Linked DNA regions of Rattus norvegicus. The protein of the gene in region 1 interacts with the protein of each later gene in a pairwise test. Links are inferred from orthologs where the notes say so. Each region holds a gene or a part of one and is shown in the gene's direction. Other genes may lie near its edges.

Evidence for each region.
Region 2: the proteins of Klhl42 (region 1) and Sertad1 interact in binary tests that used the Homo sapiens proteins (3 or more experiments, as listed by UniProt). The two-hybrid records come from large-scale screens. The link is inferred for Rattus norvegicus from reciprocal best matches to the Homo sapiens genes KLHL42 and SERTAD1.

The regions. Positions count from the first base shown.
Region 1 is NC_086022.1:181,732,541-181,738,173, forward strand, and holds the start of Klhl42 (kelch-like protein 42), read left to right. Parts: upstream 1-2,691; 5' UTR 2,692-2,736; coding exon 2,737-3,572; intron 3,573-5,633. UniProt on the Homo sapiens protein: Substrate-specific adapter of a BCR (BTB-CUL3-RBX1) E3 ubiquitin-protein ligase complex required for mitotic progression and cytokinesis. The BCR(KLHL42) E3 ubiquitin ligase complex mediates the ubiquitination and subsequent degradation of KATNA1.
Region 2 is NC_086019.1:91,901,566-91,907,182, forward strand, and holds Sertad1 (SERTA domain-containing protein 1), read left to right. Parts: upstream 1-1,731; 5' UTR 1,732-1,843; intron 1,844-3,942; 5' UTR 3,943-3,945; coding exon 3,946-4,656; 3' UTR 4,657-5,000; downstream 5,001-5,617. UniProt on the Homo sapiens protein: Acts at E2F-responsive promoters as coregulator to integrate signals provided by PHD- and/or bromodomain-containing transcription factors. Stimulates E2F1/TFDP1 transcriptional activity.

The DNA.
Region 1 (5,633 bases):
TGAGAGACAGTCACTTTCAACCGATATGGTTTTGAGACATAGTATCATAGTGCAGGTGTGGCTAGCCTGGGACTTGTTATGTAGACCAGGCTGGCCTTAAACTCAGATCTGACTGCCTCTGCCACCTAAATTCTGGAATTAAAGGTGTGTGCCTCATGGCTCAGTTTGCCAGAGAAGTGTTTTCTTGACCCCAGGTATATAGCAGATGCATAAATCAGACAGTCACTGATGGTTTACCACAAAGAATTTTATTTTAAACAATTCTTTGATATGTATAGAATTTTACCATTTATTAAGACAAAGTTTGTATGCTAATGATATGGATGTGCTTGTTAATTTGCATAAATTTTTTAGAATTAATTTACTCTGACAATTTCACACATGTATATAAAGTATCTGGAGCATACCCTCCCCTGATTAGTTCCTCCCCCAAACACTTCTAGTGAACATCCCCTCCCTACTTCAGGCCCTCTATGGCCTCTCTCTCTCTCTCTCTCTCTCTCTCTCTCTCTCTCTCTCTCTCTCTCGTAATCCTACTGGAATGTTGATCGTTCTTCTTGTTGGTTATCTAGTGTAGACTACAGTTCTGTGAGCTCATGAGTGTGATCGCTGCTTCATGTGCAGAAGACACATTCCACAGCACTCCTCCCTACCCCCCCACCCTTACGTGCTTTTAGCCCCTTTTTTTTCATGTTGTTCTTGAGCTTGTGGGGAGGGGTTGCTGCAGAAGTCTGATTAGGGCTGTTAGTCACATGTTCCCAGCACTTTGATGAGCTCTCTGCTCACCAGAGACAGAGACTTCTTGGGCCAAGGCAGCACTGATCTGTGGATATGAGCACAAGTATTCAGGAAGTAACTTGACAACATATTCATTTAGCAAAGCAACAGTGGTGCGCTCTCCTAGGGCTATGACCTCCCAGGCTGTAGGCCTTTGAGCACAAATTGTCAGTGTCTAATGACCAATGACAGCTCCATGTACTCAATATGATGACACTGAGCAATGCATTCACGAAGCCTTGAAACTATAGTTCGCTACTTTGTAACAAAGGAGTTTATATGTGTTTGTCTTTATGCCCAGCTTTCTAGAACACTGTGTGGCTTACTAAGATCATTGGATCTTTTAAGACGCCCCACTATATTGTCAGGTGTCAAAACCTTGCAGGACCAGTGCCCAGTGTTGTCAGGTAACACTTCAGATTCCAGTCCAGCTGACCTCACTGTGGTAATGTGACCCTGGTTGAATTGCCTCTCTAATGAGAATCATTCTCAAAGGTTGGCTTTCTGGTTTGTTTTAAAAGGCAAGAGAATACCAGTTGAAGGCGTGTCTCTGGTCTGCAAACAAAACTTCCATTGGTAAAGATTCTAAAGAGCCAGAGACTAAGAGCCTGTTCTTCTGGTGACTCACTGAATCCTGCCTTGTTGCTGATGGAGGCTCAGACAGAGCCTGGTCCAGCCTCTTTGAAGTCGGCCTTCCCAGAAGCCCCCAGACCAATGTCTAATGGTAGCCGTGGCACGTTGCCTTGCTGTAGTCTACTAGATCCTTGCCTCTCACCTGAAACCCTCCTCATACCCCAAACACCAAGAGTGACGGATGGGGAACAGAAACCTGCCAAGAACGATTCCAGGCCTGTCAATCACAGGGCAGTTAGTGTCCTGAGTTTTTCAGAGTGTCCAAGAAAGTAACGAAGTATAGCAAACCCCAGGTCCGTGTGTTGTGTCTCTTTCCCATAGGAAGGCAGAATCCTGATAGGATGTTCTCTGTACTTCGTAGCTCCTTACCCTTGCGTGTATTCTGCAGACTATAATGACTTACAGCCCCCTCTTGGTGAAGCAGCCGACAGATATAGTAATACTGAGGAATGCAAGCTGGGACATCATGGGGCAGACACCATGCTTCACTACAGACCTTGGAATCCAGCCTTCCAACCAAGTGTCCCGCAAAGGAACACAGGAAAAATGTCCTTTCCCAACAGCTATGGCAGGGATGGGGGTAGGTTGGGATGAGAATGGGAAAGTGCTACCCAGAGGGGACAATCATCTCCATCCACTTGCCCCTTTTGCTGCCATCTCTGGTGCTGGGGTCTGAACTCTCTCTGGAGCCCCCTCCAAGCCACTGCCTGCCTTCCTGTCTGTCTGCAGGACCGGTAGTCACTGCAAGACTGTCTGTCCTGTCCATGGAGTTGATAACTCTTCTAACAAATTCGTTAGCCCCAGAAATCCGTTATTGCACCTTTGAATCACACTGCAGGTGCAAAATCTCTCAGTACTGACTGGCCTAGGAAAACTCACACAGGCAGGGACTGTGGGGCTGCGGGAAACACCAGAAGATCAAGTACAATGACTTTTGCGCAGGGGGAGAGCACCGCGAACCGACACGTTTGTTTGTATCCTAACATTGCTTGACAGTGGTTAAGAGTGCATACTGCTGCTGCGGAGGACAGGAGGACTCGGCTTCCGCGTAGGGCAGCTTACAACCGTCTTTACCTCAGGCTGCAAGGTGATCTGCCGCCTTCGGCTTCCCGGCACCTGCATTCACGCGTACGAACCCACACAGACACAAGGATTATAGACTCAGAGAGGCCGTTTACTTCGAGGGCGCGTGACGCACCGGCGGGGCTGAGCCCAGGGCCCCGAGCGGCGGAAGGAAGGAAGCGCTAGCGCAGGCCGGGCTCCGCGGAGGCTGTGCGCCCGGGGGAGGAGCCTGAGCAGCCGGGCGGCGGGCGCAGCGGCCCAGCCATGTCGGCCGAGGAGATGGTGCAGATCCGCCTGGAAGACCGCTGCTACCCGGTGAGCAAGAGCAAATTGATCGAACAGAGCGACTACTTCCGCGCTCTCTACCGCTCCGGCATGCGCGAGGCCGTGCGGCCCGAGGTGGGTCCGGAGGTGCAGCAGCTGCGCGGCCTGAGCGCTCCGGGCCTGCGGCTGGTGCTGGACTTCATCAACGCGGGCGGCGCGCGCGAGGGCTGGGGCCTGAGCGAGGACGAGTTGGCCGAGGCCAGCGTGCTGGCCGAGATGGTGGAGGCCGCGTCCTTTCTGCAGGTCACGGCGCTGCTGCGCTTGCTGCTGTCGCATGTGCGTCTGGGCAACTGCCTGGAGCTGTACCGCCTGGCGCAGGTGTACGGGCTGCCCGACCTGCAGGACGCCTGCCTGCGCTTCATGGTGCTGCGCTTCCACCAGGTGCTGTGCCAGCCGCAATTCCCGCTACTGCTGTCGCCGCCTCAGGCCCCCGGGGACTGCAGCCTGAAGCAGAGGTTGCGGGAGGCCCGCATGCGCGGGACCCCGGTCCTGGTGGCCCTGGGGGACTTCCTCGGGGGACCCCTGGCTCCGCACCCGTATCAGGGGGAACCCCCGTCCATGCTTAGGTATGAGGAGACCACAGAGCGCTGGTTCCCCCTGGCCAACAACCTGCCCCCCGACCTGGTGAACGTCAGGGGCTACGGCTCAGCCATCTTGGACAACTACCTCTTCATCGTGGGTGGTTACAGGATCACCAGCCAGGAGATCTCGGCCGCACACTCCTACAATCCCACCACCAACGAGTGGCTGCAGGTGGCTTCCATGAACCAGAAGCGGTAAGTGCAAGGGGGTGGGGGGTTCTGCACCCTTCATTCATTGCCCTGGCCAGAGGCGATGGATGGCATCTCACTTAGTGCTGCTAAGTGCTCCACCTCTGGTGGAGTTCCCAGTGAGCCCAGGGCTTGCCAAGAAGACAAGCCGTGTATCAGCTAGCCTAGTGGTCTTCTTACATGTGCAGGCCCCAGGTAAGAAGTTTTTCTGCCTCAGAAGAGCTTGCAGAGAAGGCTATTGAGAATTACGGAGGCACTAGCAGTAACTGGTAACTCTAGCTTGTTGTTGCTGATGGCGACTTTAGATCCTTCTCACTTGGGTAGGAGAGAGTGCATCCACTCTCCCTAGGACGATGTAAGGGATCGCCATAGAGCATTCTCTTTTCTTTTCATTCTCTCTTCATTTGTTTCTTATTACCTCCTAAGACAGCAATCATCTTTGACCCAAAACTTGAGCCTGGAGCGGTCAGCTACAGAATGGGTGTGCCCTTGTCTCTCTGCGTCTGTTGTCTACCTGGGAGGCCTCAGACACCCCAGTCTGGGTGCCTGAGTCCTTTGTGACTGTAGCATTAGCATATACATATAAACCCTACATGTACACATACACCTATACATATATACATTAGCATAGAGCGTATGTATATACAACCTCCTGCATATGTTCAGGTGGTTTTCCTTTATTTTCGTATGCTCCTCAGGCTGGTCTTGCAGACCTGCCATCCTCTGCCATCCAGCCTTCAGAGAGCTGTTACTTATGACTTCGAATGTAACACATTTACCACGTCAATGGTTGTCAGATGGCATTGGTGAGGGAATGACAAAAACCAGTGTGTACTGTTCAATTTCTCCCTCTTACTGTTAGAAGATGTGTTCCTTTCCACCTCACCCATCTTTCCCATCCTTCGAAGTAAGGAAAAGAGAGAATGAAAGCAATATAGAGAAGCAAATAAAGGAAGAGCTGGGAAAGAAGACACCAGGAAGAGGAAGGGAGTAAAGGCCGCAGTCCCAAGTGGCCTGGAGGAGAGGTCAGGGCTTGTAGAGTGGGCCTGTTGCCCCAGCTGCTTGGAAGGCTGAAGCAGACAGATCCCAAGTTAAAATTCTTTCTGGGCTTCAGAGTGAATTCCAGGCCAGCCTGGATAATGTAGCAAAACCAGAAAGAGTAGGGGAAAGGTGTCTCAGTGGGAGAACGCTAGTCTAGCAATTAGGAAGGCTCAGATCTCACATTGGATGCCAGTGTCCTAGAAGTGGAAAGAGTAACCACACAGGACAGACACACTCTTCTCTCCCCACTTCCCTCCCCTTACCCCTCTCTCCCTCCCCTTCTTTCTTTTCCTTCCTTTCTTCCTTCCTTCCTTCCTTCCTTCCTTCCTTCCTTCCTTCCTTCCTTTCTTCTTTCTTTCTTTCTTTCTTTCTTTCTTTCTTTCTTTCTTTCTTTCTTTCTTTCTTTCTTTCTTTCTTTCTTTCTTTCTTTTTCTTTCTTTTTATCTTGGAGGCATAGTTTGTCTTCATAGTCCTGGCTGTCCTGATTCTCACTCTGTAGATCAGGCTGGCCTTGAACTCAGAGATCGTCTTGCTTCTGCCTTCCAAGTGCTGGGATTAAAATTGTGTGCCGCTGCCACCCAGCTGAGGCTAGGTACTTTTTACCAGGCCCCCTGATGCCATCCAAGACCCACTGTGGTCTCTTCCAGGTCCATAACAGGAAAAAGGGACCTTTAGGTCAGAGATTATTTGCAGAAACATACCTTGTTCTGATGGCTCAGAGGTTAAGAGCGCTTGCTGTTCTGTGCTCAGCATCCGTATCTGACACCCCTTGACAGTCTTTACAGGCACTTACATACACTGGCACACAAATAGACATAAAATAAATCCTAAAAATCCTGGCAAGCTGAAGTGTGAGAGGCAGAGCTGAATGCTCCCTTCCAGAGGTACTAACTAGGGGGTGGGTATGTTTTCACTCAGCCTCCGGCAATATGATACTTCCATGGCTGAGATGATACAGTAGCCATCGCTGAGATGATACAGTAGCCATCGCTGAATGATACAGTAGCCATGGCTGAGATGATACAG
Region 2 (5,617 bases), on another chromosome or scaffold:
AGGCTGTAGTCTTGCCTGTAGTTCCACCTACCTCTGCCTCCTAGGTGCCTGGTACCCACAAAAGCCAGAATATGGCATCTGACTCCCTAGAACTGGAATATAGATTGTTGTTGAACTACTGTGTGGGTGCTGGGAATCAAACCCATGTCTTCTGGAAGAGCAGACAGTGCTCTTAACAGATGACTCACCTCTCCAGCTTCACAGACTAGCTCCTTGGTTTGTTCGTTTGTTTGCTTGTTTGTTTTTCAAGACAGGGTTTCTTCATGGAGCCCTGGGGACAGACCTTAGCTTGTCACTCAGCAGCACCAGTGCCTTTAACCACAGCCCAGCTGAGGAGTGCCATCTCCTCAGCCCAACATTCTACTGTTTGTGTTTGTGCTTGCTTGTCTGTTTATGTACTATGTGTATCAGGTGCCTGAGAAAGCCAGCATAGGGTGTTGGATCTCCTAAAACTATAGTCACAGGCAGTTGTGAGCCGCCATGTGGGTGCCGAACTGAACCTGAACCAGGAACTGAGCCAGGTCCTGTGCACTCTTAGCCACTGAGCCACCTCTCCAGCCCCTGATATCCTAACCTTAGTAAATCATCCGGCCATTTTATTTCATTTTATTTTTTCAGTGCTGCAATTGAGCTCCGGTGCTTAACATGCTGGGATGTTAGGCGAGAACTCTTTCACTAAACTGTACCTCTCCAGCCGTGTTTTAAGACTAGCTGAAGGCCCACTGTGGAGCTCAGGCGTTTAATCCCAGTTCTCATGAGGCAGAGGTTTGTGAATCTCTGAGTTAGAAGCCAGCCTGGTCTATAGATCGAGTTACAGAACAGCCATGGCTGTTATCCAGAAAAACCCTGTCACACGAAACGAAAACCCCAAACTAAAACATACAAAAACATACATATACACAAAAACTAAACTAAAAGCAAACTAACCACCCAACAACCAAACAACCAAAAAGACTATTAGGCGTGGCATAAGCCTGTGGTTCCAGTCACTTGAGAGGCTGTTCTGTTTTCCAGGCTAACTTGGGCAACTTAGTGAAACTGTCACAAAAACTAAAGTAACGAAAGTTCGTCGTTTTCTTTCTTTCTTTTTTAAAGACAGGATCTCACTCTGAAGTCCAGGCTGGCTTCAAACTCAAAGCAATCCCCCTGCTTTAAGTCTTTCCATGCTGGTGTTATGGGTGTGAACAACCACGCCCCGCAGGAAATTATTTTCAGGGACTTAAACTGCTGCCCAAAGTCACACAGCTACTCCGGAACTGATGCCCAGGACGTGACCCTGGTGTCATTCCGTCCCCACCTTACTCCCATCTTTAATAGTAGCAGAATCCAGCTGTCCCACTGTAGATTGAGTCCGGTATCGTAAATCCTACTGAGAAAACTGTTAATTTTGTAACTCTCAAGAGGCAGGTCCTCTTCCAGAAGTCATACAGTATTCTAAAATCACCATGAAGTGACAGGCCTGTACTTTAAAAAGGCCCAAACCCCTACCTGTCACCGCCCCACAAGGGAAATCGCTACCAGAGTTTGTCCCTTCGCTCAGGCAGTCCTCCTGGGCATGCGCTTTAGAGACAGGCTCCCCCCTCCTTCTGGAACGTCCCCGATCAGGCTCCGCCCACCACCACCAACGAGAGCGGATCCCGGAGCTGGAGGGCGGGGCTGCCACGCGAGTGGGCGGGAACTAGGGATTGTCGAGTGTCTGGAGTCGTGCGCCCGAATCAGAACTGCGCCTGCCGTCCCAGGTGTCGGTTGCTGGAGCCCAGCGAGCTAGCGATGCTACGGCAGCCGCTTCCTGATTGGCTGCGTGTGGCTCCCTCTTCGTTCTGATTGGTCGGGAGTGATCTGGGTATGTAAATGAAGGGGCCTGGTAGGGAAAGACGAGGGTACGGGCGACCGGGATATTTAGCGTGTTCGATACCTCAGTTAGGTAGATGTTCGCCAGAGCTGTTCGAGATCGAGGGCCAGGGCCTGTATGTGTCGCCCGGCCCGGCCGGGCTGGGTGAATCACGTCGGAGCCCGAGAAGGGGGCGGAGGCGCCGGCTCCCTGGCTCCGGCTGCGTGACTCATCCGCCCCCGCCGCCGCCGCTTCGGGAGGAGCCGCCTCCACTGCCTTCCGGAAGCGAGGGGAGGCCGGGCTAGCTGAGCGACCCGCGGGGGTCGCGGCTTGCTATACCCGGGAGAGACAGGCAGGACCCCGGAGAATCTAAAGGATCCCGGGGTCAGAGGGGCCGGAGTCCCGGGGGACCCAGGTCGGAGTACCGCTAGGGGGCGCCGGGACTCGAGGGGCGGAGTCGGGGTGGGGGCTGAATTCCTGCGGTTCCCGGCTCCCGGGTCTTCAGCGAAAAGGGCAAAGACTCGGTTTTTACTGTCTTGCCAGATCTAGGCTAGTGTCCCCGGGACTGAGACCCTGCAGTCTTTATGCCCCCGTTAGATAGGGCTAGGGGTTCCAAACTCTAGACCTCTCACCTTGGAAGAAAGTACGGATTTTCAAACTTCTGTCAATGACTTAACTCCTGCGGCCCTTCAGGGTTTCCCTTGTCGGTTCTTTTTCCTCAATAAGTTCGGGATCCACCGCTTCCTTGAATGATTGCTAACATCTTAGGGTTTACATTCAAGCGGTCAGCACCCCAACAAGTGCTGCAGCCTCGGAAGGCAGGCAATTTGGGCCCACTTCTATCCCCAAACCTTCATACACACACACACCCGATGCTGCCCCACCACCAATCTTGCCCTAGGCAACAGCTACCCGGGATCCTCTAGAGACATTGCCAACTAATGTCACCACTCATCTTCCTGCCTCGACCCTACCCTCCATGACTCTGTCCTGACACTCTGAAAATCCAAGCCTCCTCCTACTCCTGCTCGCGCCTCCTTCTGCCTGCTCCCCACCCCCACCGGGACTCCTACTGTGTCACTCTGCGCCTGCTCCTAGTGTGTGGTTTGTTTTTTTTTTTTTTTTTTTTCCTTCCCAGTTCAGGTTTACCTCTCTCAGTCTTCCTTTGGCCCTCTCAGGAAAACCTGGCCCAGGTTCTCCATAGCCTACACAGCATACATCAGGGTTCATCTTCAATGTATCTTTCTTAGAAAGACCTGCCTTGACTACCTCCAAGATGGCATCTTCCTACCAGTTTCTGTACATTTGATTATTTAATGGCCCATGCATATAGCAGATACTCTGTGTGTTGATGACTGCATTTGCAATCAAGGAGTGGCACACACACTATCCTAACCCTTGTGAGACGGAGACAGGAGGATTGCCTGGAATGGCTGGCCAGCCTGGACTACAGTTGTGAGGCTCTGTCTCAAAAGAATAAAACCCAAAAGTGCTTATAAATAAGTACTAATTATGTGGGCTTAGAGCTTGCTATTCCTACAAAGGACCTGAGTTCAGTTCCCAGTTCCCACATCAGATGGCTTGCAATTACTTTAAAACCAGTTCCAGGGACTCCTGGCAGCTGACCTCTTTGGGCATCTGCACTTTCATGCACACACACAAACACAAAATTTAAAATAAAAGTAAAATTTCAAGTACTAATGACTACGTTTTTGTTCTTTGAATCTAATCTGTGTTAGCAACTTCTAGCATAGATGCTATCTGTATCTTAGGAGTTCACCGAGGGGGCTGAGGATATAGCTCAGTTGGTAGAATGTTTGTTTTACATGCAAGAAGCCCAGAGTTCCATCCCTAGCATCAAATATACCAAGGATGGTGGCACACACCTTTAATTCCAGCACTGGAGAGATGGAGAAGGGAAAAGCAGACGTTGGCTTACCTGGCAAGTTCAAAGCCAGCCTGAGTTCCATGAGACCCTATCTCATTAGAAATAAATATGCTTAGGAAACCTAGCCCTCGGAGGTCAATTGACTGGTCAGGATCACACTGACAGCAGTTGTGAGAGCTGCGTATTGGCTTTCCATAACCGAATGACTCCTTCCTCCCTGCAGAGGATGCTGAGCAAAGGTCTGAAGCGCAAGCGGGAGGAGGAAGAAACAATGGAGTCCCTCTCAGTGGACTCGTGGTGGTTGGATCAAAGCCGCCCAGCAGTGGCACAGACCCCAGCAACCGTGGCTTCTAGCTCTCTCTTTGACCTCTCGGTGGTCAAGCTCCACCACAGCCTTCGGCAGAGCGAACCAGACCTCCGACACCTGGTGCTTGTGGTGAACACACTGAGACGAATTCAGGCGTCCATGGAGCCTACGACCGTCCTGCCACCTGAGCCCATTCAGCCCACAGCCCCCTCTGTGGCAGATAACTTTCTGTCTAGCTCAGACGCCGGCCTCTCAGCCTCCATGGCCAGCCTCCTGGAAGATCTCAGTCATATTGAGGACCTGAACCAGGTCCCCCAACCCCAAGCAGACGAGGGGCCTCCAGGCCGCTCTGTCGGGGGTGTCCTGCCCAACCTGGGTGCCTTGGACTTGCTAGGCCCAGCCACGGGCTGTCTGTTGGACGATGGACTGGAGGGTTTGTTTGAGGACATTGATACCTCCATGTATGACAGTGAACTTTGGTTACCAGCCTCTGAGGGTCTCAAACCTGTCCCTGAGAATGGCCCAGCCAAGGAGGAAACTCCAGAGTTGGATGAGGCTGAGCTGGACTACCTCATGGATGTACTAGTAGGCACACAGGCACTGGAACGGCCACCAGGACCTGGGCGCTGACCCTTAGACCCAGGGATGATTGACTTGGATCTGAGTTGAGCCTGGTGGTTACACCAATCCACTTTGACGTGACACAGATGGCTTCCCCTCACAGAGGAGACCCAGGGTCACTTTGGAGAGACAGTGCTGAGTCCTGGAAACTTCACATCCATCCACCTGTCTTGGCCAGTGAGGGAGTTAGAAATAAGCTCCCAGTGGTGAAATGACGGGACCCAGAGACAGCAATGGTGTTTGGGCTAGGCTGGGGGTTGGACTGGGATAATAGTCTGGGCTATCCCATCCTATTATCCCCAGTGTGGGAAGAGACCTCATAATTTTTGGAAATTAAAACCAGCTTTGGGAAATACCAAGTCTGTGTGCTTCTTTACATCTGTGCCGATCAGGGATGAAATAACATCAAACTTGTAATCCCGTGACATTCCCACGGTTATAGTAGAATAAAACGCACTCCCGGTATATATCTTTGAGCAAAGGGCAGGAGCTTTCAAGAGGTCTCCCAAAATAAAACCACTAAGTTTAGTGGAGAGAAAACAGGACCTTAAGGGCCAGGCAGCTGGCTTTCCACGTAGAAGCTCTCCAGGTCCGGGCAAGCCGGGGCCACCTGCCTGCCTGAGCGCATTGGGCCTGGCCGGAGCCGGGTGTCTGCGGCCGCCCCCGCGGTCCAGCTGCATTCCTGGCCCGACTGGGAGGGGCCGCACACTCACAGCTCTGGCACGGGACCCAGGCTGCGTCCTTCCTGGCGGCCGTGGGGGCAGGGCAGGGCAGGGCCCCAAGAGCGGAAGGATGGTGGGGAGGGTAGGAAGGGAGGAGCCGGGGCGGGGCCGGGGGGAGGCGGGTGCTGGACTGCCACCCAAAGGGCAGGATGGGTCCTGAATCTGGGGACTGTGACACCGTAGGGCCGCTCCTGGATCTCCCCAGGGGCCGGAAACTCCAGGACTGCGGCCGGCCGGGGTGGAGCTGG